Linked DNA regions of Rattus norvegicus. The protein of the gene in region 1 purifies or fractionates together with the protein of each later gene. This does not show direct contact. Links are inferred from orthologs where the notes say so. Each region holds a gene or a part of one and is shown in the gene's direction. Other genes may lie near its edges.

Evidence for each region.
Region 2: the proteins of Polr2f (region 1) and Polr3e purify together in Homo sapiens (affinity purification with mass spectrometry; 4 studies listed by BioGRID and IntAct, with this or other methods). This does not show direct contact. The link is inferred for Rattus norvegicus from reciprocal best matches to the Homo sapiens genes POLR2F and POLR3E.
Region 3: the proteins of Polr2f (region 1) and Polr3g purify together in Homo sapiens (affinity purification with mass spectrometry; 3 studies listed by BioGRID and IntAct, with this or other methods). This does not show direct contact. The link is inferred for Rattus norvegicus from reciprocal best matches to the Homo sapiens genes POLR2F and POLR3G.
Region 4: the proteins of Polr2f (region 1) and Polr3k purify together in Homo sapiens (affinity purification with mass spectrometry; 5 studies listed by BioGRID and IntAct, with this or other methods). This does not show direct contact. The link is inferred for Rattus norvegicus from reciprocal best matches to the Homo sapiens genes POLR2F and POLR3K.
Region 5: the proteins of Polr2f (region 1) and Rpap2 purify together in Homo sapiens (affinity purification with mass spectrometry; 4 studies listed by BioGRID and IntAct, with this or other methods). This does not show direct contact. The link is inferred for Rattus norvegicus from reciprocal best matches to the Homo sapiens genes POLR2F and RPAP2.
Region 6: the proteins of Polr2f (region 1) and Polr3d purify together in Homo sapiens (affinity purification with mass spectrometry; 5 studies listed by BioGRID and IntAct, with this or other methods). This does not show direct contact. The link is inferred for Rattus norvegicus from reciprocal best matches to the Homo sapiens genes POLR2F and POLR3D.
Region 7: the proteins of Polr2f (region 1) and Polr3b purify together in Homo sapiens (affinity purification with mass spectrometry; 5 studies listed by BioGRID and IntAct, with this or other methods). This does not show direct contact. The link is inferred for Rattus norvegicus from reciprocal best matches to the Homo sapiens genes POLR2F and POLR3B.

What each region holds. Positions count from the first base shown.
Region 1 is NC_086025.1:112,599,537-112,603,009, forward strand, and holds the end of Polr2f (DNA-directed RNA polymerases I, II, and III subunit RPABC2), read left to right. Parts: intron 1-2,597; coding exon 2,598-2,669; intron 2,670-2,841; coding exon 2,842-2,932; 3' UTR 2,933-2,973; downstream 2,974-3,473. UniProt on the Homo sapiens protein: DNA-dependent RNA polymerase catalyzes the transcription of DNA into RNA using the four ribonucleoside triphosphates as substrates.
Region 2 is NC_086019.1:184,923,727-184,926,038, forward strand, and holds the end of Polr3e (DNA-directed RNA polymerase III subunit RPC5), read left to right. Parts: coding exon 1-85; intron 86-1,038; coding exon 1,039-1,095; 3' UTR 1,096-1,812; downstream 1,813-2,312. UniProt on the Homo sapiens protein: DNA-dependent RNA polymerase catalyzes the transcription of DNA into RNA using the four ribonucleoside triphosphates as substrates.
Region 3 is NC_086020.1:13,718,988-13,723,247, reverse strand, and holds the start of Polr3g (DNA-directed RNA polymerase III subunit RPC7), read left to right. Parts: upstream 1-1,460; 5' UTR 1,461-2,110; intron 2,111-4,260. Other genes in the region: acyl-coenzyme A thioesterase MBLAC2, read right to left, coding at 1,007-1,460. UniProt on the Homo sapiens protein: DNA-dependent RNA polymerase catalyzes the transcription of DNA into RNA using the four ribonucleoside triphosphates as substrates.
Region 4 is NC_086021.1:189,358,849-189,363,148, forward strand, and holds the start of Polr3k (DNA-directed RNA polymerase III subunit RPC10), read left to right. Parts: upstream 1-1,500; 5' UTR 1,501-1,564; coding exon 1,565-1,675; exon of another isoform or gene 1,676-1,677; intron 1,678-2,884; coding exon 2,885-2,972; intron 2,973-4,300. UniProt on the Homo sapiens protein: Core component of RNA polymerase III (Pol III) which synthesizes small non-coding RNAs using the four ribonucleoside triphosphates as substrates. Can mediate Pol I proofreading of the nascent RNA transcript.
Region 5 is NC_086032.1:2,325,655-2,329,154, reverse strand, and holds part of Rpap2 (RNA polymerase II subunit B1 CTD phosphatase Rpap2), read left to right. Parts: intron 1-32; coding exon 33-147; intron 148-3,295; coding exon 3,296-3,394; intron 3,395-3,500.
Region 6 is NC_086033.1:51,923,153-51,927,086, reverse strand, and holds the start of Polr3d (DNA-directed RNA polymerase III subunit RPC4), read left to right. Parts: upstream 1-1,134; 5' UTR 1,135-1,176; exon of another isoform or gene 1,177-1,227; intron 1,228-1,395; 5' UTR 1,396-1,400; coding exon 1,401-1,565; intron 1,566-2,134; coding exon 2,135-2,178; intron 2,179-3,119; coding exon 3,120-3,271; intron 3,272-3,407; coding exon 3,408-3,532; intron 3,533-3,790; coding exon 3,791-3,934. UniProt on the Homo sapiens protein: DNA-dependent RNA polymerase catalyzes the transcription of DNA into RNA using the four ribonucleoside triphosphates as substrates.
Region 7 is NC_086025.1:20,939,634-20,943,133, reverse strand, and holds part of Polr3b (DNA-directed RNA polymerase III subunit RPC2), read left to right. Parts: intron 1-614; coding exon 615-718; intron 719-1,183; coding exon 1,184-1,350; intron 1,351-3,500. UniProt on the Homo sapiens protein: Catalytic core component of RNA polymerase III (Pol III), a DNA-dependent RNA polymerase which synthesizes small non-coding RNAs using the four ribonucleoside triphosphates as substrates.

The sequences.
Region 1 (3,473 bases):
TCACAGGAGTGAGGCGTCCTGACAACTCAGTCTAAGCCAACTGGATGGTCATACTCTGTGGGAGTAAGATGGATCCTGCTTAGTCCGGGCTTTAGTGTTCCTTCCCCTAGGGAGCCCATGCCCTCTGTTCAAGCACAGCCAGGCTGGATTCTGTACACTGAGGCCTGGGCTGTACCTTTGCTTAGGGGCTGAATGAAATGCCATCTTGGATAGCTTTTGGCGAGTCCAGTCTGGCCTGCGTGCGCCACCTGCTGGCTGATGTCACTCACCTCATCTTCACTGGATGATGGTGACATGTTTATTTTAGTAGCTGCAGCACAAGACAGTCACTTCAAAGCCTGCGCTTGCATGTCTGTGGGGCACTGATGAGCGATGCCCTTCAGTTACTGCTGTGATGTGAGGAGAGAGTGGACACGGCCGGTCAGGTCAATGGTTACTTATGTAAAGCACTCTGTGTATGTATGGCAAACTAAACAGGACCTTACATGTTTTACTGCTGAGCTATACGTCAAGTTTTGGGGACATTTCATTATGTCAGAAAAGACATTTGGTTTCTGCTCTTTGGAAAATTTCAGGATTTTAGGATTAGCAGAGACCAGAATATTTAGTCACAAACTAATAAATGTCAGTCTCAAGGTGGTCCCCAGAGTCACCCAGGTACCTCTGAAGGTATAATTCTCAGACCCCCTCATGAGCTGAGGGATTCTGTCTGGATCAGCAGTTAAGAGCACTTGGTGCTCTTGTATCCAGTGTCCTCCAAAGGCACTGGAAACCTCCATGTAAGCAAAACACCCATACACATAAGAAAATCATTGGTCTTTTATGGCCTGGAGAAGGCACTGGCCCTTGATTTTGGATGCTTGTTCGTAAGTCTGAATCTATTGGCGTCAGGCTGTCCAGGGTTATTAGAAGCGTCTGTCTGCAGGAGACAGGCCTGGAGTTGATGTGCCCTTGTTTGCCATTGGAAGTTTTGCTTGGACCAAGCATTAGCTGGGGCCTGGGCCCTCATAGTGGATCATGTGTGGTTCTGGGCCACCAGACAGATGTTCATAGTCTGGTGTGGACAGTAGTATGGTGGCTTTGATGCCAAGAAACGCATGTTTAACTCACCGGGGGCACAGAAGACAGATTCCCAAGGCTCAATGGTTGAGAGCACAGACTGCTCTTCCAGAGGTCCTGAGTTCAATTCCCAGCAACCACGTGGCAGCTCACAACCATCTGTAATGGGATCCGATGGGACACTCTTCTGGTGTGTCTGAAGAGAGCAACAGAGTGCTCACATAAAAAAAAAAAAAATTAAGTATATCTTTAAATAAAAAAAAGGAGACAGAGGTGGGTGAGGACAGAGAGTAGAAATGAAAGGGATCTGTGCCTGTTGTCCATGTTGTGACAGAAGTCCAGAGGACAGGCTTCTGGCTTAGTACATTTGGCTCACAGTCCTGGAGCTTAGAAGGTTCAAGAACATGGCAACTCACCTGTGGGGCCTCAAGCTGCATCGTAATATGGCAGAGTGCTGTTATTTGGTAGAACTGAGCAACCTTGCTAGCTTGGATTTCTCTTCCTTTAATAAAGCCACTTAGGCTATCATGGTGGTCACACCTTTGTGGCTTTCTTTCTTTTTTTTTTTTTTTTTAATTTTTTTTTTTTATTTATTTATTATATATAAGTACACTGTAGCTGTCTTCAGACACACCAGAATAGGGCATCGGATCTCATTATAGATGGTTGTGAACCACCATATGGTTGCTGGGATTTGAACTCAGGACCTCTGGAAGAGCAGACAGTGCTCTTAACCACTGAGCCATCTCTCCAGCCCCTTTGTGGCTTTCTAAGAGCTCCTTCTCCAATACCGTCGTCATCTTAATTTGGGGGACACTTAACCATAACCTAGGGGAGGCATGGAAGTTTGTTCTGGCTTGAATGAGGGGCCAGGCTGGAAGAGTGTCACTCTTCTGGGGGTGTTGCTATGCAGGGCCTTCTCTGATGGGGTATGACATGCAGATGACTTCAGTATGTTACCTGGGACATATCCCAGCACAGTGGTGAGGAGCAGACCTTGGCTCTGCCTCTCTGCCTACGTGACCTGGGGCAGGACACCTTTTATATTGGATAGTTTATGTATTTACATTTCAAATGTTATCCCTTCTATGAAGATGTTCCCACTCCCACCGCAACACCCTGGCATTCCTGTACACTAGAGCTTCACCTTTCTGTACCTAGTTTCCATGATAGTAAAGTGGAAGTCAAAGTAGGCCTCTCCCACTGAGGCAGAGGTCATGGCAGGTAGCTGTCAGTGTCTGGCGTGCAGAGCCTGTCTGCTATCTGGTTTTTGTCATTGTTTCCCCAGTGAGGTAGGGATCTCTTCTTCAATTTTAGAAGAGGCTGTTGGGATGTGGAGAGAAATTCGGTGACTTGTGCTTACAGGCACAGTTTAAATCCAGTCTGCCAGCCTTCCCTCTGCTCAGTGGTGGCTCCCTGAACACTGCTGCCACCAGGCCTGCCTGTCCAGGTGACCTTGCTAGATGAGGATCAGGACAGCAGATCCACCTTCTCTGAGCCTTGTCTGCTGTCTCTCCAATCTTTCTCTGTCTCTGCAGGATGTGTGCCCCAGTAATGGTGGAGCTGGAGGGGGAGACAGACCCTTTGCTCATCGCCATGAAGGAACTCAAGTAAGTCTGCCCCTCCTTCAGAGTATCTCGGGCCTCTTTAGACCTGTGGCTCATGCATGGCCAGCCCCCGGGAGCCAAGGGAGGGCATTTCTGTGACACGTGCTACTACCACCTGTTCTCTGCTGGGAGCCAGGGCACCAGCTCTCACTTCATTCGACTTCTCCCCACACAGGGCCCGGAAGATCCCCATCATCATTCGCCGTTACCTGCCAGATGGAAGCTATGAGGATTGGGGCGTGGATGAGCTCATCATCAGCGACTGAGCAGAGCTGTCAGGCTGTGCCAGGCACCATCTCTATGCCCATTTTATACATGTAAATAATAAACTTCACTCTTCACACCCCCTCTGCCCCTGTTGCCTGCATGCTGACACCTGCTGCTTTCTTGTTCCTGCCCTACTACAGGATGGGCATACATTGAGGTGACCCTGTGACTGTTAGCTCTTTCTAAAGCACCAGGGCCCCCATCCCATCCCTCCATCTCTCCCCATGCACCAGAGCAAAAGCTGCTGCAGGGAGACACCTCAGCTGCCTTCTCAGCAGACAGATGAGTCTTTGTGCCCAGGGAGCTGGTTGCCACGGAAACCCCCAATTTCCTTTCCAGTGGGGACTGGCTGCAGGGGCTTCTCCCTTCTCAGGAGTATCACAGAGCAGGTTTCATCAAGCCAGCCATTGTTCCTAGGGACCTGCCTTGAGCTCTTATCGAGGACTCAGATCCCCTTTCAGGAGCGGTGCTTTAGCAGGAAGCGTGGGGGTGCAGTGATCCCCCACTGTCCCCAGGCAGAGCCCTGTTGGGCAAGGCAGC
Region 2 (2,312 bases), on another chromosome or scaffold:
AGTACGTCGGAATATGATCCAGTCTCGGCTGACTCAAGAATGTGGAGAAGAGCTAAGCAAGCAGGAGGTGGATAAAGTGCTAAAGGTATGTCCATTGTGCACAAGATGTCACGCAGAGCATCTAGGCTGTGACTTTGACCTGTTGTTTTAAGGACACACATACGTGGAAAGGTTGTGTCTGGTATCTTTGTTCCCGCTGTGTATATAGTAAATCAGAACAGCTTAGCCCTAGTGCCCACCAGTCTGATGGCCATCAACTGGCAGTGACTAGCACTGGTACCCTGGCAGGAAAGTGAGCCTTTTCATGCCGCAGAGTTGGACTGGGTATGAGGAGGTGTACATCATCTTGCACCCACTTGTATAATTGACAGTACAATCTTTTTTTTAATTTTAATTAAAAAAGGAATACTGGGGGTTGGGGATTTAGCTCAGTGGTAGAGCGCTTGCTAGGCTGGGTTTGGTCCCCAGCTCCGAAAAAAAAGAAAAAAAAAAAAAAAGGGATACTGCCTGGCACTGGTGGCGCACACCTTTAATCCCAGCACTCAGGAGGCAGAGGCAGGCAGATCTGAGTTTGAGGCCAGGCTGATCTACAGAGTGAGTTGCAGGACAGCCAGGGCTACAGAGAGAAACCGTGCCTCCAAACAACAACGACAAAGAGGAGTTTCTGTTTGCTTAATGTGAAAACACTTTGAATGCTCTCATGAACTGTGTGCATTGTAGAGGTGGGCACAGAAAGCCACTGCCCCATTCCCTGTTACCTTTAGTCATGTAGACAATAGGCCTTATTAATATGTCCCTTGTCGTAGTCAACTTGAAAAGTTTTTTTCTGTTGATACAGCAAAATCTGTAACACATCTTAAAATGTCCCTGAGGTATGGTGGCTGGAAACCCGATAGGGTCAAAGCGGCTACCCAACAGCACACTTAGGCAGGTTTTGATGTCCTGTTTGCACTCTGTCCGCTAATCGTGAGTCAGGCTGTGACAGCAATAGCTCTCTCCTGCCGGAACCTGCCCTTACCCAGTTTTCTTAATTTCTAGGACTGTTGTGTAAGCTGTGGTGGCATGTGGTACCTTAAGGGGACAGTACAATCCTGACAATAGTAGCAAACCACTAACTCAACGAACCCAAGCCCAGGGAAGGACGGCAGAGCCACACGTAGTCTCGACTTGCCTCAAGACACAGGAAGAGGATCTGCCCACCTGGTGGCCTGTGGCACTGCCTGGCCCAGAGGACAGAGGGGCTCACACTCAGCCAGTGGCAGGGTCAGCGTAAGTGAGATCGCTCCCAACAGAGACCAGCCGGGCCTTCTTTGCAGTACAATTTGAAATTCCTGATGTATTTTGCTTATTGGGTTTCATTCTCATAATAAAGAGAGTGTACACTGACATGGGCAGGATTATGAAAATCATGGTTTAATATTTTCCTCTTTTAAATGAATGCCAACATAGTTAAAGTTATGTTTACAAGATGAAGAGAACCTTAAGGTTTTTAATATTTAAAATGCCTAGAAGCTAATAATTAGTCTTAGAGTTTCTCTCTGCTAAGACTTCTGCCAATTTTATTAAACCAAATTGAACATTTTACTGTTGGGTTTCTAAGGCCACTTTACCTTATACAGCAGCCTGCTTTCTGTAGCGGTCTCAACTGTTTACACAGACCATAGCAAACATTCTATTAACTCCATCGTCTCCTACTGTTTGCATAAAGGTGCAAATGGAACCAGGTAAGTGTGGAACAGTGTGTAAGCGAGGTTATCACTTTGATGTAAAAAAAATTATATTTTGTGTATTTTTAAAATAAATGCTAACACTAAACTGGCATCATGGTGCTGCTGTCCTCAAATAGTTGCAGGAAGAAAATGTCCTCTGTGCTGTCTAAGCATTCAGTACAGAGAGAGAAGGGAGACCATGACGCCATCACACCAGGTGATACTCACTTTGACCTTGCAAGGTTGGTCTGAAGACTGGTCTGCTCACACTGCTGAGGCCGCCACACACACAGGGACAGTCACAGAGTGGCCTTAGCTCGCTGCAGACTTGCAAGCGGAAGGGAAGGAGGATGGAAAGTGAACACCAGCTTCTTAAGTAGGGAAGGGAGCTAGTACTCCTCCTGTGGGAATGTGAGAGCTGACTAACCTTGAAGGTTTTAGTACTTACATTAAAATAGTTTTAAAAGTAGATATTAATGTACTTCAGGCCCAAATATTTTAAATCAAAATGTAATAAAGGTTTTTTTTTACCTAAGTCTTCAGAATGTGGTATTTTACACTTCTAAACCCCTCAGAGCCATGATTTACATGCCGGATTGCCAA
Region 3 (4,260 bases), on another chromosome or scaffold:
AGATGTAGCAGACCTGCAGCTCAGTCTCCACAGCTGCCTTGTCTGGCCTCAGTGAGACAGGATGCACCTAATCTGGCAGAGACTTGATGTGCTGGGGGTGGGGGAAGGGATACCCAGGGGGCCTCCACCCTCCCAGAAGGGGAGACGGGATGAGGGAGTCTCTGTGAGGGAGGGAGCAGGAGGGGGGAGTAGCTTTTGGGATGTAAATAAATAAATCCTAAGGCAAAAAATATAAAATTGATATACCAAGTATTGCTGTTGTCGCTAACCAGTTCAATTAGTGCAGTCCTGCATGGGGAGAAGGGGATTGGGACCCTACTCTATCTTGCTCCATTTTATCAATTTCTTAGGACCAAGAGAATGAAGTCTGCATTAATTAATGCACACACTTTATCCATGGGAAACAACTCCCTTATTGATCGTTCTTAGGCCTCGCTCTCATCCAGACCAGATAGCTGTCATAATTCTACGTTCATGTCCACCATCAAGCCTTTTTTCTTTTTGAGAGGCAATAAGCAAACAAATCCATCTGAAAGGTAAGGATGGACGAAAGCTCTCTAAGTCTACAGGTGAGACTGAGGCACTCTGCGGTGAGCAGTGCGCAGGCAGCAGAAGTCAGCAGTTTTCAGAGCACAGAGCCTAACACTCTCCACAAGGTGCCATATCTTAAAAGCCTACTCGTTACAAAAGCTGGAAATGTTCAACTGGTACTTGGGAAAAGAATGGAATATCTCCAGTCACAAGTCTCTGCAGTGTAACTACCGTAGCCGACTGACTGGGGATGGTGTGAGCTTTCAAATAAACAGCCACACAGTAGCAGCGCGCATCTCCTGGCAGAGAAGACTGAGTGGGCCTAGGCTCTGCCCAAGCTGGCTTTCACGCAGCAAAGGGTGAGTCAGAGTATTCCCGCACGGTAGCCCAACAGTGCCACGGAGGTCTGCAACAAGCTGTACACGCTCGCCAAGCCCCTCCCTCAGAGACAGCGCGCGCCCCCGGGACCTATTACCATCCTGCAGAATGAGGGTGGGTTGCACTGCCTGCACTCGGAATTGCCTGGCCCTCCAGCCAGGGCTGGGCGCCCGCACCACCTCGCTGTCAGAGAGCCAGGTCACGGTCTCAAAGTTGTCCCCGCGAGCCAGGGCCTCGGCTTCGGCGCGGTGCACAGCCACCTGGTCGAACTGATAGAGCCCGCCGGAGTGATCAAAGTGCACGTGGGTGGCCACGGCCAGCAGCGGCCGACGTCCTGCATCCTCTTTGGCACCACAATCCTGCAAGAGGCCGGAGGAGTAGAGGTACTCCGGGAGGCTGCGTAGCCCCAGGCCCGTGTCGATCACCACGTCCTGCTCCGAGCCGCGCACCAGCCAGATGTTGGCCCGGTTGCCTGACTCGTAGAACCGTTCTTGAATCCAGAAGATGCCATCGCCCAGAGACTTGTGGGCATACCACTCGAGTGCCGACATGCCGATGCGCAGGGGTGCGGCCGGGCAAGGTGGGTGTGCCTCCCACAGGCAGTCCAGGACTCGCCGCTGCTGCAGTGAGCGAAGAGCTACTCTCAGCTCCGGAGGAGGCGCGATCGAGGGGCGGGGATGCGGAAGGGAGCGCGGATAGGACGCAGCGACACTGCCCAGATCGCCTGTTCCTCGCCCTCCCGTCCAAGCCGCAGAGCGCAAAGACTGCACCCCAGCTGCCGCAGCTTCTGCAGCTGCAGCACCAAGGCGGTGACACAGGCCGCTGAAGCGGGGCGGAGACACCGGGCAATGCTGCCCTGCTCGGGGTTCCGACTGCAGAGGCCTGGAGGGATGCGTGGGAAGAGACAGGACCGCCCCCACACGGGCCGCGGGCGCTGCGCACTCGTAGCGGGAGGCCAGAGTGAGGCCGAGCCAGTTGGAGGTTGACTACGGCGCCTGCCAAGGGCTAAAAAGCTCCTTTCCGGGGGTGTGGCCTCGTAGAGTGGGCGGGGCTTCCAGTGCGCTACCCTGAGCCGGAGCCGCGTGCGGTGAGGTTCTCGCTGTTCCGGAGGTGGAATCTGCTGCTCCTTGCTGGCGCGACTGCCAGCTTTCCTGCCACCATCGCTGCACAGTGTGCCCAAGCCTCGAGACTTGGTGAGAAGGTAACTGGAAACTATCCCGGACTGGGCTGGAGGTGAAGAGGGTAGAAGGGAGTTGATGGGGCACGTGGAGAACGTGGTGGTCCGATAATCTGGAGCCAAAATTCATCAAAGCCCCTCTGGAGTGACTTTGGGCTGTACCCCTACCTCCCAAAGCCTGCTGCTGCCGGCTTCCAAACCTTTAAAAGTTTTGGTAGCCAGATCTTCCAGCCTCACGCTGGAAGTTTATCCTTTTACAAGAGAAGACTTTGCAAATCCGGGGACTGTGGTTTTTGTTCATGTAAAGTTTGGCGGCAGTTTGGCTAATAAGGGCATACTTATCATCGCTTCTTTTTTCTTAACTGTTGGCACCTTTGATAGTGGGGAGAGGGGCTGGTGATAGAATTTTTCTTTAAGGAGATCCTAAATGCCCGTCATAGTTCTGGGTGTTTCCTTGCTCTTTGAAGAGAGCAGAAAAGGTTAGAGCTTAAGGCAAGGCAGAGATCACTTTGAGGGGACAGGGAAAGTGGATAATCACTGGGTGTGGCCTTGCAAGCAACCGAAATCACCCCCACTGTCAGTATCAAGTCCCTGTGCTTGCACCCCAACCATTAGCTACCGATGCATCTCTTTCAGATTCAGAAATTCCCTTGAGAATTTGACTAACCTTCAGAAATTATAAAGAGACCCACGGGGACAGCATTATCAAAGATAATTAGCAAAATCCTTCCTGTGGCACATAAGTCTTTCCTGGAGGGAGAGATGCATTCTTCCTACACTCCCAAACTCTCCAGTGGGTGTGGGAGCAGGTCGCTGCTCTTTTGAGTATTTTGCTAATCTCATCTATTATTCAATTATGCAATTGGGACCATTCTTAGCACTAGTGCCTGAACTAAATGATGTGTGACAAGCAGAAAACTGTTTAAAGAAAAGTCTGATTTGAGTTCTCAAGAATCTGAGGAAGCTGACACTTGTACACAAATACTTGTTAACTAATGCATCATGAATGCAAAAATTGGGTTCTGCCTAAGAAGGTGTTCTCCACAGAGAAACACAGTGCCCTCTTTACTTTATGCTTCTGCGGCAGAAGGGAGGCACTCGGTAAGATGGCACAGTGTTGTTCTGTGGTCATGAGCTCAGAAATAATTCAGTGATGATTATCCAGCTTGTGCCTAGCTCTAGAGGCCTTTGGACCTACAGTTTCTGATGACTCTTTTATTCTTTTCAATATGACTCTGTTTCTCATCTTAATTAAATTTATGCTCAGATAGTCCCAAATGACTAGTTTATCTGGCCTGGTTCCTGCTTCACTTTCACACCATCTGTCAGGCTCTGACAGGTTCTCCTGTCCGTGAACTCCATAAGCGCAGAGACATTATTTTGTTCACCTCTCTATTTCCAGCAGAGAGGATGGTTTGACCCAGAGGTAGGGTTAGGGTTAGGGCTTCATAAAGACGCCAGTGGATGGTCAAAGACTCTCCCTGGGGAGGCAGAAAACCAACAGTCAGTTACTTGGTGAGAAGCAGAAGTTAAATGTCCTGAGCTTTGTTAAACTGAAGAGAACAGTATATCGGAAGTGTAAAGATTTGCCTTCTATTAAATTGACAAGAGTTTGGTTGAGAATGATAGGAATCTGGACATAAAATGTCTAGCATGTTTCAAAGGGTCAGATGAGCAATGCTAAGGCCTGAGCTAATGCAGAAGAAAGGAGAAGACTAGGGAACACACAGCTAATGGTCATTCTTCAGAGAGATACTGTGACCTGGCTTTTGCTGTCTCCCCTGACCTCCAGCTAGTTGAACATTTACTCATCTCCTTAAATGTGTAAGGTTGTGTGTACACGAGGATGATACATTTAAGTCACAATCATAACTCATGACATTTTAGATCTAGGAAGAATTGTAGAGATGAACTCACCATTTTCCAGGTGGTTGTGTTTGGAGATGGTTAGGATAGACTTTGGTCTCTTGAATAACGCCCATTTTTAAATCTCTTGGAACAGATTCCAAATGGGAATTTTGAGGCAGCGTTCTGAGCTGGAAGGGGCAGTGCGAACTTGTCCATGTTGCATTTTAAATTTCAGATTTGGGGGCTGGAAAGATGGCTTAGCAACAAAGAGCTCATGTTACTCTTGTAGGGGATCAGAGTTCAGTTCCTAACAACCACACCAAGTG
Region 4 (4,300 bases), on another chromosome or scaffold:
TTTTCTGGATCATCCTGTGAGGGATGTTGTTGAAGTCCTGTTCTGGGCATGGGTTGTAGTTTGCATTCTTCACACTTCTGTCAAGAATCCTTGCAAAGATAATGATGGGTCTCCCACCTGTACTGAGCTGCTTCTCAGTTCCTAGTAAAATAATGATCAGAGCCCCTAAATTATCCCCCCAAGAATCCCTCAAAGAAACATGCAGAGTTAACCAACAGAGACTTGAGCTGGGGCTCCATGCTTTAGCCTCTTCACCTGCAAATATTTGGGAACAAGGAGACACAAGTGACTAGGAAAAGTGTGCATGTGTTGCGCATGGGCCTCCAGAATCTACATGGTAGACCTCAGGCTATTACTGGAATACCTACCATCCAGCTGTTTTAGATCAGCTCTTCAGGACTAAGGTTGGAAGCTGGAGGTTCATTGTTGCAGGCTTTTTCTTTATCATACCATGAACTCTGGGATTGTGTTTACTGGAAAAACCTGTTTCTAGTTGTGGTGTGACTCGGCCCTTGGCACACAACCTTTAATCCCGCTGGCTGGAATACAGACACGCCCTTAGAATGCTCCTTTAATGCCCAACAATGAAGGTCAGGTTAGATTGTAGAAGGTATCACCCATATTTGAAAATGATGTCTAGGGCTGGAGATATGGCTCAGTGGTTCACTGACTGTTCTTCCAGAAGTCCTGAGTTCAAATCCCAGTAACCACATCTCATCTCGTCTGTAATGAGATCTGATGCCCTCTTCTGGTGTGTCTGAGGATAGCTACAGTGTACTTTAAATAAATAAATCATTTTTTTTAAAAGTGATGTTTGAGTGTCCGACAAAGTGGGGAATTAGAGAGTTTTTTTTTTGTTTTTTTTGTTTTGTTTTGTTTTGTTTTTTTGTACAGAATAGGGTATGCCCAACTCTCATGAGAGAGAAGGAGGCAGTTTTCCTGGGACAGTTTTTACAGAGAACAAACTAGACACAGATGAAGACAGAATGTGCCAGAAGATTAGAACAGATTGTCAAAGTTAGTATGAGGCCAAGCAGAGCAATTGAGGAAAGGCTGAGAGAGAGAAGCCAAATTCAATCAGTTTGAGCCGGAACAGCTGAGTTGAACCAGCCAACCAGCGCTCAGAACTAGAAGGGGTGCGCTTATTCCGCAGTGAGTCTCAGAAGCTGAAAACCTTCTAGGCCTGAATTAGATTTTACAGAGGGTAGAAGTTTCCAGGCCTAGATACTGCAGCTCAGCAGCACCTCATCACCCAGTCCGGCTCACCACCATCAGGCTCCCCAGGTGCTGCCATCTGCCGGCACCATTAGTTTGCGTTTCAGCTAGGGAGATGTGCGCACGCGCAGAAGCTACACGGACAGCGAGTGCAGACAGCATGCAATTGGCTGGATGGGGAAGGGTCATCGGCGGTGACCAATGGCATGCGCGAGGCTGCCCGCCGCAGTGCCTACCGGGAACGTGTTGCCGATCGCCGGTTGCCCGTAACGGAGGAAGGGAGACGGCTTCAGATTGGGCGCCTGAACCTCGGCAGCGCCACACAGAGCCGCCGTGTGGGAGCTGAGCAATGCTGCTGTTCTGCCCGGGCTGCGGGAACGGCCTCATTGTGGAGGAGGGGCAGCGCTGTCACCGCTTCGCCTGCAACACGTGCCCGTACGTCCATAACATCACCCGCAAGGTGAGGTCCACAGGCCGGAGCTCTCCCTGCGGTCCGCGGGGCCCAGGGCAGGCGTCGGCGCGCTCGGACCTCCCCGCTGCCCGCTCAGAAATTGTGCGAATTTTAGTTCATCCCCCTACGCTGGACCTCGCAGATTCCAGTCCGCTCCTCACCTCTGATTTCAAATCCTCGGGTTCTTTAGTTGCTCGTTTGCTCCCATCCCCTATCTTGATTCCTGAGAATCTTCTTGCACGCAGTGCTGTCAGGTTCTTCCCTCCGCCCGAGTCGGTCTTCCCTGAATAACTACGCAGAGTGACGCACTTCTCGTTCTCGTCTCCCTCTTCCCCCGTCTCTGGTGCATGTGTGCCTCCCTGTTTCTCTCTCCCTCTCCTCTTTTAAAATAATGGCTGCCTTATTTAAATGTCAGCCCGTGCGGCTGTTTGTGCACCTATAATTCTAGCACTCGGCAGGAGAATAGGTTCAAGGCTCATCTGGGCTGCATAGCACACACAGAGCACAGAAAAGCCAAACCCAGTTCTTTCTGTTTATCCTCATTCCCTTAAGGTTTTCACAGAATTCATTGTCTTCTAATGTTTTATATCGTTGTTGCTACTTTGTGTGTGTAGTGCTTGTGTTGGAACCCAGCAAGCTGTGTTTCCAGCCCTCGGTGTTTTGTGTACCTTAATTCCCGTTCCTCTTTACCTCCGTGCCTTAGTTCAGTGACTGCAGTTGTGCAGCACTGGGCCTTGGTGACTCCTCGTTCCTAATGTTTGCACATTAGAGCTGTGTGGTAGGGGTTTAGAGTCAGGATTTGTGGTAAGATGAATTGTGACAGAATTTCTAATTTCCAGGGATGCCTGATAAACATAGGAAAGCATCCAAATGTGACCTGGGGTGCTGGTATACCCAGCTAAGTGACTTCATTTGTCTGTCTTTCCTGTTGGATTATTAGGTGTCCTAGGGGTATGAGAGAAGAGCAAGGTTTTACTAGGCTGTTTTTTCCTTTCAGTTCTGTCTGGTGTTTCCTTCGGTCTCTAGAGGTCTGAACCTCTAGAACCTCTGTTCTGTTTGGAGGAACATCCGAGTCACAAAACCCCTACATTTTAGTGACTCACACTGCTCTTTGAAGAAGACAAATTTTGTAGAGGAAATGCTGGAGGGAGTTGTGGCTTAGTGACCGACTTGTAAAACTGTACAATTACTTCCAATCTGGTGGCTTGTGTCTGTTAGGTAACAAACCGAAAGTATCCAAAGCTAAAAGAAGTGGATGATGTGCTTGGTGGAGCAGCTGCCTGGGAGAATGTGGACTCTACTGCAGGTGAGGATTTTCCCGTAACAGAGCCAGTGACTCAACCTTGTTTGTTATTACTTATTATTATATTTTATATTTATATTGTTTCGCTAGTTTGTGTGTGTGGTGCTTGTGTTGGAACCCAGAAAGCTGTATTTCCAGCCCTCGGTGTTTAATACTAATAATAAACTTAGTATTATAATGCAGTCCTGTCTGTTATTAGGGCCAGCAAGATACCCTGGTAAAAGCACTTGTTGCCAGATCTGTTAGCCTGAGTTTGATTCTTGGAGCCCAGATAGTAGGAGAGAACTGACTCATGGGAAGATTTTGTACCACCCTCCATGCACACATGGGCGTGCACAAGTGTAAAAGAACTTAAGAAGATGTAAATAACAATGTAATATCAAATAGCTAGTGCATGAAATATTTTGGTGATGTGTTTTAATTACAGTGTAGGCACTCTAAAGTCTTTTACATTTTTGTTGTTGTTAATTGATTTTGTTTTTTTGAGACCTGGTTTCACTGTGTAGCTCTGAGTGTCTTGACCTCGGAGATCCACCTGTCTGCCTCCCACATGCTGGTACTAAAGTATCTGCCACTGACACCTGGCTGTAATAACATTTTTTTAAAAGTAGATTCTTTCAAGGATTCTTTAAAGCAAAGTTACTATAGTGATACCTGAACCGTTGTTTCATTTAGAGTCTCAAGTCCGATGTGGACAAGTATAATTAAAAAATAAATCTGGCAAATATTCTCTTTTTGAAGCAAATTTAGAGTTCATTACAAAAAATTTCAGCATTGATTTATATATAGTTGTTGGGAAGGGGGGATCCATGCTCTAGTGGGTGTGGACTTCTCATGAAAATTGTGTTGTATGTATTTTCAAATACCAACACTGAGAAAATGATCAGCCCTAGTCTTTTATTTTCATTTCGTTTTATTTTTTATTACATGGATTTAAAAAAATTATAACTGTGGACGAAGGATGGTTGCTCAAGCTTATGATTCCAGTTACGATTCTGGTGCTCTCTGAGTGGAGGCAGAAGGCTCAGTGCTTATCTGGGCTTTTTGAGACCCTGGCTCAGCCATTCTGTCAACCGATAAATAGCTGTGGGGTAGGATTTCAGTGGTTGAGAGCATGGGACTGGGTTTCCTTCCCAACTTCCACCTGGCAGCTCAGACCTTCTGTACTTGTACTTTCAGGTGATCTAATACCCTCTACTTGCATCCAGGGACACTGCATGAACGTGGTGCACAGACTACCCAAAGGCAAAACATGCACATAAAATAATTATAAAAAATTAGGGGGGGGGGTTGATATTTGCAACTGGAGGTATTAAAAAGTAAATGTTTAC
Region 5 (3,500 bases), on another chromosome or scaffold:
TTAACTGGTTAACCTTCTCATTAAAATTTCAGACAAGCGGAACTGGAAGCTGCCCTGCAAAGGAAGGTGGAGTCTGAGAGGAGAGCTGTACGCCTCGTAGAGCAGCTCCTGGAGGAGAACATCACAGAAGAATTCCTGAAGGAGTGTGTACGTACCAAGTTGTCAGATTACCAGATTTAAAGTATAAATCTGTATTTAAAGACTCCTTTGTGTATATGAGCATTGTACTTGCTTGACAGCTTGACAAACAGAGGAACAAAGTGCAGGCAAGTCAGACACACAGAGGAAAAAGCCTCTGCTGAGGAAAGGCCTCCGTGAGATCCAGCCGTAAGCCATGTTCTCAATAAGTGATCAATGCGGGAGGACCCATCCTGTGCTGGGTGCTTCCATCCCTGGACTGTGGTCCTGGGTTCTACAAGAGAGCAGGTTGAGCAAGCCATGGGGCAGTGAGCCAGTAAGCAGCACTCCACCATGGCCTCTGCATCAGCTCCTGCCTCCAGGGTCCTGCCCTGCTTGAGTTCCTGTCCTGATTTCCTTTGGTGATGAGCAGCGATGTGGAAAGGCAAGCAGGATAAACCATGTTCTTCCCCGTTTGCTTTTTGGTCATGGTGTTTCATCGCAGCAATGGTAACCCTGACTAGAGCAAGTCGATGCCACAGTGCTGCATTGCTCTGACAGACCTGACATGTTTTGGGGAGGACTGGGGAAGGACTTTGGAACTTTGGACTAGGGGAGCCATTGAGTGTTGAGAGCTCAGTGGGATGTTCAGTGAGAGCTTGGAAGATAAGAATGCTGAGAACAGTGCAGAAGATAAGAGGCCTGACTTGTGAAGTTTTAAGTCTTGGACCATTTGCTATTTTGGATTACGATTCTGTGGTTCTGGTCGGCTGGGGCTACAGCGCCAGCTGTGATTAACAAGAGACCAGAACTGCTAAGTTGAAACCTTTGCTCTGCTGGGATACTTGATGTTGGTCAGCTGGAGCTGAGGAATCAGTGGTGATTAAGAAAAGGCCAACATTATTGAGGTGAAATCTTCTGGGAAGTGTTTCCTGAGAGCACAGAGAAGCTGTGTCCATAGGTGACTGCGGTTGTCCCTTGTCCTGGCAGCCAGACTTGGTTACATGTAAGAGTCACCCAGGTGGTACTGGTTTTGAAGGCATGAAGGGGTCATAGAGAGCAGCTGAGGCTGGGCAGGAGAAGCCATGAAAAGCCACTGGTGAAGATGCAGCCCAAGACTGAAGGGACCATGCAAAGAGGTTGAGGATTGGCACCAGGAGAGAGCCTAGGAGAGGCTATTGGTGAAAGTGCATCTCAGTTGCAGCTGAAGACCCCAGTGTTTCGGAGGTGCAGGGACTATGGGAAGACCACCACGGACAGCAGCAGCAGTGGCGGGGAGCCAGCCAGAACTCAGAAGGCAAGCTGTGTGTGCTGCAGAGAGCAGAGCTGGAGAAGTGACCCAAGCCCTTTGGAAGAGCCCAGAAGATTGTGAATGGATCCCAGACATTGGACAGTTGGAGTCTGATTTTTTTTTTGATTTGTGACTGTGCTCTGATTTTCCTTCTTGGAGTAAGAAAGTTATTTTACTGGATGGAGCCCACAGTATTTAACTTGGAGACTTTGAATTTTAAAAGACTTTGGATTTTTAGAGAGATTGGATATTTTTAAGGGACTGACATCTTAATGTGCTTTAATTTGTAAAGACTGTGGGACTTTAAAAGTTATTTTTTTTTAAAGATTTATTCATTTATTATATATAAGTACACTGTACCTGTCTTCAGATACACCAGAAGAGGGCATCGGATCTCTCTACAGATGGTTGTGAGCCACCATGTGGTTGCTGGGAATTGAACTCAGGACCTCTGGAAGAGCAGTTGGGGCTCTTAACCTCTGAGCCATCTCTCCAACCCTATTTATGTTTTTAATGTGAGATCTTGGGAATGGGTAAGAAAGGAAGGATTATAGCTTAACAGTGATCTGTCTGTGTGTCAAGTTGACAAGGGTCAGTTGTCCTGGCTGGTTTTGTGTGTCAATGTGACACAAGCTAGAGTCATCAGAGAGGAAGGAGCCTCAGTTGAGGAAATAATTCCATCAGGTCCAGCTGTAAGGCATTTTCTCAGTTAGTGACCAACAGGGGAGGGCCCAGCCCATGGTGGGAGGAGCCGTCCCTGTGCTGTGGTCCTGGTTCTACAAGAAAGCAGGCTGAGCAAGCCAGTAAGCAGCACCCCTCCATGGCCTCTGCACCAGCTCCTGCCTTCAGGTTCCTGCTCTGCTTGAGTTCCTGCCTGACTTCATTTGGAGCAGCAATGTGGAAATGCAAGCAGGATAAACCTTTTTCTATTTGGTCATGGTATTTCACAGCAATAGAAACCCTAACTAAAACAAGTGTCTTCTATGTATGTGCACTAGGAGTGTTCATTCAGTGCCCATAGTCCAGAAGTGGGCGTTAGATCCCTTGGAACTGACATTATAGCTGGTTGTGATCTGCACAACATGAGTGCCAGGAACCAAACTGAGGACCTCTGCAGGGCAGCGCATGCTCTTAATTATTGAACTGTTTCTCCAGCTCCATTTTTTTTTTTTTTTTTTTTGGTTCTTTTTTTCGGAGCTGGGGACCGAACCCAGGGCCTTGTGCTTCCTAGGTAAGCGCTCTAACCACTGAGCTAAATCCCCAGCCCCCAGCTCCATTTTTTTTAATATGTTTGTATAGCACATATGAATGCATGGCACATGTGAATGCATACCTGTAGAGTCCAAAAGAGAGCACCATTTCTTCAGGAGCTGGAGTTACCAGCAGTTGTGAACAACATGACATGGGTGATTGGGAACCAAACTCAGGGTCTCTCGCAGAGCAGTAAGCATTCCTAAACACTGAACCATCTCTCCAGCCCCCAAATCTAATGTGTTTTAAGTCTATGCAAAATAAAACTTTGCACTATTGAAATCTTAGTCCTTAGACACAGATAACATGATGCATGAGAATACAGGAAGGTATGGCTATAGTCCATGTAGTGCATTTTTAAGTTTCTTTGCATCTGGTTAGTGAAGGCACCATTCATGCCATGACCCCCATCTGACACAGCATGCACGTGGAAGTCAGAAGGCAACTTTATGAACTCAGTTCTGTCCTGCCCTCGTGCAACGCAGAAGTGGCAGCAGGCACTTTAGCCCTCAGAGCCATCTTGTCAGAAGTGTTTAAAATCAGTGTTACAGTATAGACACTTCTTGATGTGCTTTTCCTTCCTGTGCTCCCAGAACTCTCACAGTCTTTGGGAAATGCCCTTTGGTTTCTCCCCAGGGGATGTTCATCACACCGGCTCACTACAGCGACGTTGTGGATGAGCGGGCCATCATTAAACTCTGTGGCTATCCTTTATGTCAGAAGAAGCTAGGGGTTGTAAGTACTTTTCTTCATAAAGTGCATTTATTAATTTTTACAAAACATCATAGAAATAGTAAGTGAAGCCTGTGGTCATGAACTAGTAATAACTTCGATTGGCCAA
Region 6 (3,934 bases), on another chromosome or scaffold:
TATATACATATATATATATATATACACACACACACACACATATATATACATATATACTCCTATTGGTCATTTGTTTCCAACAAAGGATACAGTATTGTGTGGCACAATGTTACAGTACATCACTAATATTTTAATGCTAGCAGTCTATGGAATTCTAGCAGAAATAGGTTCCTTCCCTAGAACTACATAATGTTTTTAATTCGTATTGGGGATCTCTGTGGTGTAACATTAAATGACTTTTTCCCCACAGATTAAGTTATATATATTTGTATATATTAAATGTATACATCCATTACAATAAAATTTTTTTAAGCTGGGATTGGTGGTGCACATCTGTAATCTGTGCCCTGAGGGGTGTCTGTGAAGAGACAGGACTGCTGCCAAGTTCGAGGCCAGCCTGGTCTACTTAAGTTCCAGACTTGATAGGGTTACAAGAGTAGTGTTGTCTTAAAAACACACACTACACACACACACTCCCAACCAAAAAAAAACAAAAAACAAAAACTCCCACTTTAAGAGCAAACTTCAGTTCCAGGCTCTTTCCAGATTTGACTAAGCAATCATGAACCCAGATAGGCAAAGAGCTATTGGCTGCTCTGTCCAAACTGCGTTAGGACCTCAGGGATCCGCAAAGGAAGGCGCTCACGAGCAAAGGGACAAGCCCGAAGGTACAGTGACCACTCCAAGGTCAATGCAGGGAAGCTGCAGCCAGCCTCGGCCTGAGGGCAAGGCTCCCTATGTCCGGAGATGCATCCCGAGAGCCGACCTCACTGTTCACAGAGGCTGCGCAGTACACCCCGTACAGCAGGTAGGCGACCTAGGAGGCCCCCCCGACCCTGTGGACCGCACTAGCACTGTCATCCAGGAGCAGAGACACACCCCCACGAGTCACACCCCCGCACAGTTCAGAATCCACTCCCATATCCTTTTTCGCCCTCTCAACCCAGCTTTTCCCGACTCCGGGAAGAACCGGGAAGAGAAGGCGGAGGACAGCGAGGCACCGTCTGATAAATACTATGGTCCGATCACGCCCCCTTGATGTCACTTCCGCCCTAGGGTAAGATGGCAGCCCCCGGTTCTTGCCACGCAGACTTCCGCCTTGCCGTGAGACCGGCGGCCGGTGGTTGGTCTCGTTAGAGGTGAGGTCGTGAAACTCGGCGTAGAGCCTCAACGCAGGTACGTCATGCAGTCCCGGGGAGAGGGCATGTGACGAGTCCAAAGCTAGAGGTGGGGCGCTCCGGGAAACCTCGCCACGTGGGACTGGGAGGAGCTGTGGTGCAGCGGGAACGACGCACGGACGGGGGGGGGGTACAGAGGGGGATTACGTGGGTGGGGTTCCGCCCAGGGTCTTCGCATCCAGCCCTTGGAGTCACTTTGTTGCCTACTTTCCTCTAGGAACCATGTCGGAAGGAAACGCCGCGGGCGAGCCCAGCAATCCTGGAGGGCCCCGACCCCTTCTCTCTGGGGGCCGGGGACTTGTGGGCCGGCGGCCCGCTCCCCCGCTTACGCCAGGCCGCCTTCCCTCCATCCGCTCTCGGGACCTCACCCTTGGCGGTGTCAAGAAGGTACCGGCGAGTGTATTTGTACAGAAACCCAAATGCTTTGAGTTCCAGGCCGAAGGGAGGCAATTCGTGATGTTCATTCATATACGGCCATTTGTCCCTGATGGGATGTCAGCCTCTAGCGAGAGACCTTCAAGCCTAGGTGCTGGTACAAGACATTGACATGGTTTCATAGGCAATTAAAAGGCAGAGAACCTAGTTAATTCAAGACATTCGGAAGTGCTTATTATGTTATGGGCACCTTACAAACTCCCATGAAAGTCAGACAAAATTGCTTTACTTGGTAGAGTGTTCATAACTCTGTGGATGTCAGTAAGGAAGCAAATAATCTAGTGGTGATGAATGAATCTTAGGCATGCAGGTAACTAACTGCTCTTTGTCCTCTCCCATTATGTGCATAACAGTAGATATAAGAGTACTCTGAAAAGAAAGCAGAACAAACAGGATAAAGCTACGGTAGTCTCCCTGTGTCATCCATTTGTCAGTGCTGGCAGATCTGTCTCTCCAAGCCTTCCCAGAATTGTTGGTCTGTTGAGCACTGCGAAAATACAGTACTGTATTTTACTTTTCAGAAAACCTTCACCCCAAATATCATCAGTCGGAAGATCAAAGAAGAGTAAGTACATAGGATTAATGAACACCACTCACCCTCTTTTGCTCTGAGTTTGAGGAAGTAATTAGGTGTGCAGCCTGGGAATTTTAACTTTTTGCCATTGGCTTATTCACCAGTGGATCTCATGCTTTAATCCCAGGTTATGTAGAGATATGTTTGCTTTTGAGACAGTGCTTCTCTACATGGCCTTTCATATCCTGGAACTCACTGTGTAGATTGCTGGCCTAGAACTCCCAGGGATCTGCTTGCCTCTCAGATCTATGTCCTGAGCCCTGGGATTAGGGTGTATACCATGCCTGGCTCTGAGGCACTTTGCATTAGAGGGCCTGCCTGTCTGTCAATCCATCCATCTGTTTGTCTGACTGCAATGAATAGCTGAGATATCAACTTACAGAGAGGGGCATTTCATTTTGGACGTCCAAGCTTTGGAGGTTTAAGTCTGTGATGAGGTGGTTCTATGCTTTTGGGTCTATGGTATGGCAGTGAGCTGGTGTCAGAGAATACCCAAGGGGAGAAAGAAGTCAAGGAGAGGAAAGGGCTGAGTTTCTGTCCTCCTTCAGGAGCTGGACAACCACCCAGTAGGTTCCACCTCAGCTTCCTCCTAATTCTGCTGAGGTGGAGCAAAGCTCTTCATACTCCTCTTAAGTTCCTCTGCTTTCCAGTCTTTCTACTTCCAGGCAAAAACAGGACAGAAAGCCCACATTTTGGACAAGGAGGTAAAGTGAGAGGAAATTAAAGGCCGTGCTTTATCAGATGTAACAGGTGTAACAACAGGTGTAACAACAGGTGTAACAGCAGGTGTAACAGCAGGTGTAACAAAGGGTTGGCTTGTGATTCTCATGGTCTCTTTTCTGGCTTGCAAACGCTGCTCAGTTGGTTGAAATGAGGTGGGTGAGGAGGGTTTGTTTCCTGAGGCAGACCCTTATATCTGTCCTCATCCCCAGGCCAAAGGAAGAAGTAACTATGAAGAAGGAAAAGCGTGAACGGGACAGAGACCGCCAGCGTGAGGGTCATGGACGGGGACGTGGCCGCCCAGAAGTGATCCAGTCCCATTCCATCTTTGAGCAGGGTCCAGCAGAAATGATGAAAAAAAAAGGTACCAGGAAGGGATCTGGATTGCGGGTCAGACCACCTGAGAAAGCAGAACATGGGATTCTCCTTTCCTAGCTTGGTTTCCCTTGCTGTTGCTGTCCCCCTGATTTAACCCTAGTGAACGGCATGATTTCCTGCAGGGAACTGGGATAAGACTGTGGATATGTCAGACATGGGGCCTTCTCATATCATCAACATCAAAAAAGAGAAGAGAGAAACAGATGAAGAAACCAAGCAGATCTTGCGCATGCTGGAGAAGGATGATGTAGGTTCCAGCAGCCTGGGGGACCGGTTTCTTTGTATCTGCTAACAAGGGCTTTTAGGAAGCCAGGCCAGGGACATCTTTGGGCTTTTGGTCACAGGAGCACTAAGGTGGGGCTGGGGATGCAGCTCCGTGGAAAGACTGCTTGCCTCCATGTGTGAGACATATACACACAAAGGAGAGGGAGTGACAGGTCCTGAAATGGGCTGTGACATAGGCACACATGCTGACATTTAATGTGACCCCCCCACTCTTTGGCAGTTCATCGATGACCCAGGGCTAAAGAATGACACACGGAACATGCCAGTACAACTGCCACTGGCTCATTCAGGGTGGCTTTTCAAGGAGGAGAGTGAAGAGCCAGACGTTAAGCCTTTTTCTGCTGGCCCCAAGGAAGAAGACATG
Region 7 (3,500 bases), about 92 Mb from region 1:
ATGTTAGATTCCCCTGGAACCAGAGTTACAGACAGTTGTGAGCTGCCATGTGGGTGCTGGGAACCGAACTCGGGTCCTTTGGAAGAGCAGCCAGCTAACCACTGAACTGTCTCTGCAGCCCACACAAAGGTTTGTTGTCCTGGTTTAAATCCACATTTTACACATTTAGTTGTATTCAATCATTCTTTGTTGGTGGTTTGAGAATTTGCATTCCTGTGGTTTGGGCACAAAACCCAGCAGACCACAACCTCGCTGACAAGAAGCAGAAACTGTGGATTGAAAAGCTTCCGGGACGAGAGCCGGCTCGAGCCTGCCCTTTGGTCTTCGTGGTGCTCAGGGAAGGTAGGCAGGCGGCCTGACAGCAGCACCGCACCATTGTGTGCCATGCCAGCATGCCACTCGGCGGCCTACAATGCTTTTCTGCAAGGAGAGTCGTTTTGAACTGCTTGGCTAGCAGGGTTGTTGGAAATTGCTTTTGTTGCTCTTGATGGAGGCCATGGGGAGGGTTTCAGAACAGTGGGAATAGAAACAGCAGCAGGGAGATCCCAATTAAGTACTGTGTTCTTCCCTCCTGCCCATTTGCTTCCCGTGCTGTGAAATCTCCTGTCCCCCAGGTGTCTGCGGCCTGATCGTCCCCCAAGAAGACATGCCGTTCTGTGACTCTGGCATCTGTCCCGACATCATAATGAACCCTCACGGCTTCCCATCGAGAATGACGGTCAGTCACCTTTGGGCTTTTTAGCAGCACTGCTCTGAGGGAAAGAAGCAGGCAGTTAGTTTAGTTACACTGAGTGGCCCCCTGACGGATAAACGGACTCCTTGCCCTGTCCCTCACTGTCCTCTGGGACACAGAGTCCTGTGTGCTGAGCCTACCTCCATGTCTCTTTGAGCAGTCACTTCCTGTAATCTGCAATCCTGTCGCAGGCCAAGGGGCCGTGGCCACAGTGCTTAGCTCTGTACTTGAGTTTCAATATCTGAAAACTAGGGAATTCAGTCCGGGAAGTTAGTCCCACAGGCCAGGGTTCTTCGGCAGGATACCCAGGAATGCTGGTGTTGGTAATGTTTCACTATCGCTGGGTGTGGTTGAAGCTGCTTTTTCAAAACATAAGCCAAAGGCAGGGATGCTGGGAGAACTGACAGCCGGGCGGGCACTCACGTAGTCTGTCCCCTTCCTGTCTCACAGGTTGGAAAGTTGATTGAGTTGCTGGCCGGCAAGGCAGGCGTGTTAGACGGCAGGTTCCACTACGGCACCGCCTTTGGAGGGAGTAAAGTGAAGGACGTGTGTGAAGACCTCGTTCGCCATGGTTACAACTACCTGGGGAAGGACTATGTCACCTCGGGCATCACCGGGTGAGTGTGCTGCTAAACAAATGCTAGAGATCGGAGGTGAGGGCCTGAAGAAGCGGGCCAATGAGGTATAACATTCCCAGACTGCCTTAGTGGGAAGGAACGAAGCCTCGCTGCTTTAGGAAACCTGATCCAAGAAAGGCCACATTTAAGAAGCCAGATATTGAGGACCACTAGTTGTGTGGTAGGACTGTCATTTTTTTTTTTTTTTTTTTCGGAGCTGGGGACCGAATCCAGGGCCTTGCGCTTCCTAGGTAAGCGCTCTACCACTGAGCTAAATCCCCAGCCCCCAGGACTGTCATTTTAACAAGCTTGGATTTCTGCGTTGCTTTTGTGGACTACGTTAACTGCATCTGATGCAGTGTTTCCCAGACTGCTAGATTTGTGTGGAGCACCAGAGACAGTGCTTGGTTTCATACCCTGGAGCCCGGTGCTCACATCTAATATGTGCTACATATCGAAGGGACTGCAGTAAATAAAACCACAGAGCTGGCCAATTCGATTTGTTATTGGACGTGGAATAGTAGCAAACACAAGGTGATTTCCAGCAGGCCTTCAGTGACTGCCTGCCAAGCAGGTGGTTGTCTGGTTTGGTTTGGCTTTGAGGTTTTTGTTTTTGTTCTGTGTTGCCGAGGATTGATTCCAGGGCTTCATGCATGCTTAGAAGCACGCCATGACTGAGCCTCACCTCTGCCCACTGACTACCCAATTCAACTCCGCTCTGGTGCTGCCTGTCTCTGCCCCACTGCTCTCCATAGCCGTCGGTCCTCAGATACTGCTGTCTGTCTCCCAGCTGAGACATAGCCTCCGTGAGAGCAGGCTGCCATGCTGTGTCTACTGCTCGGTCTCCACAGCCTACCACAGCACCTCACAGCACAGCTTCAGTAATGCCCGGCAGGCAAATCTGAGAACCAGCGCTCAGTCATGAAGACGAGGAGGAGGAGGAGAGAGTGTGTAAGACATGGAGGGACAAAAGCTGTGCCCTTCAGAGTGTTGCACAGAGGAAAGTACACTTACTGAGTAGACCCCAAGAACTGGTAGGTGCCCACCCAACTGTTATTCCAGAAGGAGGTAGCTGTACAGCCTGAGGTGAGGTTGGACAAGACAGGGCGAAGGGTCTAGCTGCCATCTTTGAAGGACACAAGTCCATGCAACTACTGTGGATGACGAGGTCTTGAAACAGCCCACATAGAATGTACGATCAAATGGTCTGTATGGAACCCTGTGACACATAAAATACCCAGGGGGCGGAGACAGAGCTCAGCGGTTAAAAACACTGGCTGCTGCTCCACAGGACCCAAGTTTGGGATCCAACACCTTCTGGCCTCCAACCATGGACATGTAGGCACTCGCCCGTGCGCACACAGAGTGAGTGAGTGAGGAGTGAGTGAGTGAGCGAGCGAGTGAGTGACTGAGTGACTGAGAGAGTGAGTGAGTGAGCAACTGAGTGAGTGAGTGGGTGAATGAGTGAGTGAGTGAGTGAGTGAGTGAATGAGTGAGTGAGTGAATGAGTGAGTGAGTGAATGAGTGAGTGAGTGAATGAGTGAGTGAATGAGTGAGTGAATGAATGAGTGAGTGAATGAGTGAGTGAATGAGTGAGTGAATGAATGAGTGAGTGAATGAGTGAGTGAATGAGTGAGTGAATGAGTGAGTGAGTGAGCAACTGAGTGAGTGGGTGAGTGAGTGAATGAGTGAGTGAGTGAATGAGTGAGTGAGCGAGCGAGTGAGTGAATGAGTGAGTGAGTGAGGAGTGAATGAGTGAGCAAGCGAGTGAGTGAGTGACTGACTGAGAGTGAGTGAGTGAGTGAATGAGTGAATAGGTGAATGAGTGAGTGAGCGAGCGAGTGAGTGAGCGAGCAACTGAGTGAGTGAATGAGTGAGTGAGTAATGAGTGAGTGAATGAGTGAGTGAGTAATGAGTGAGTGAATGAGTAGGTAAATGAGTGAGCGAGCGAGTGAGTGAGTGAATGAGTAGGTAAATGAGTGAGCGAGGGAGTGAGTGAGTGAACCTTTGTATTAAGACCTCAGGGTCACGCTGGAGCATGGGCGAGGACATGGTGCTTAATGTATTACTATGAAGAAGTGCTCCAGAAGGGAGAGCGCCTGCCCGCAACCCGTTTCTGCTGGAAATATGGATCCAGTGCTTGTGCAGAT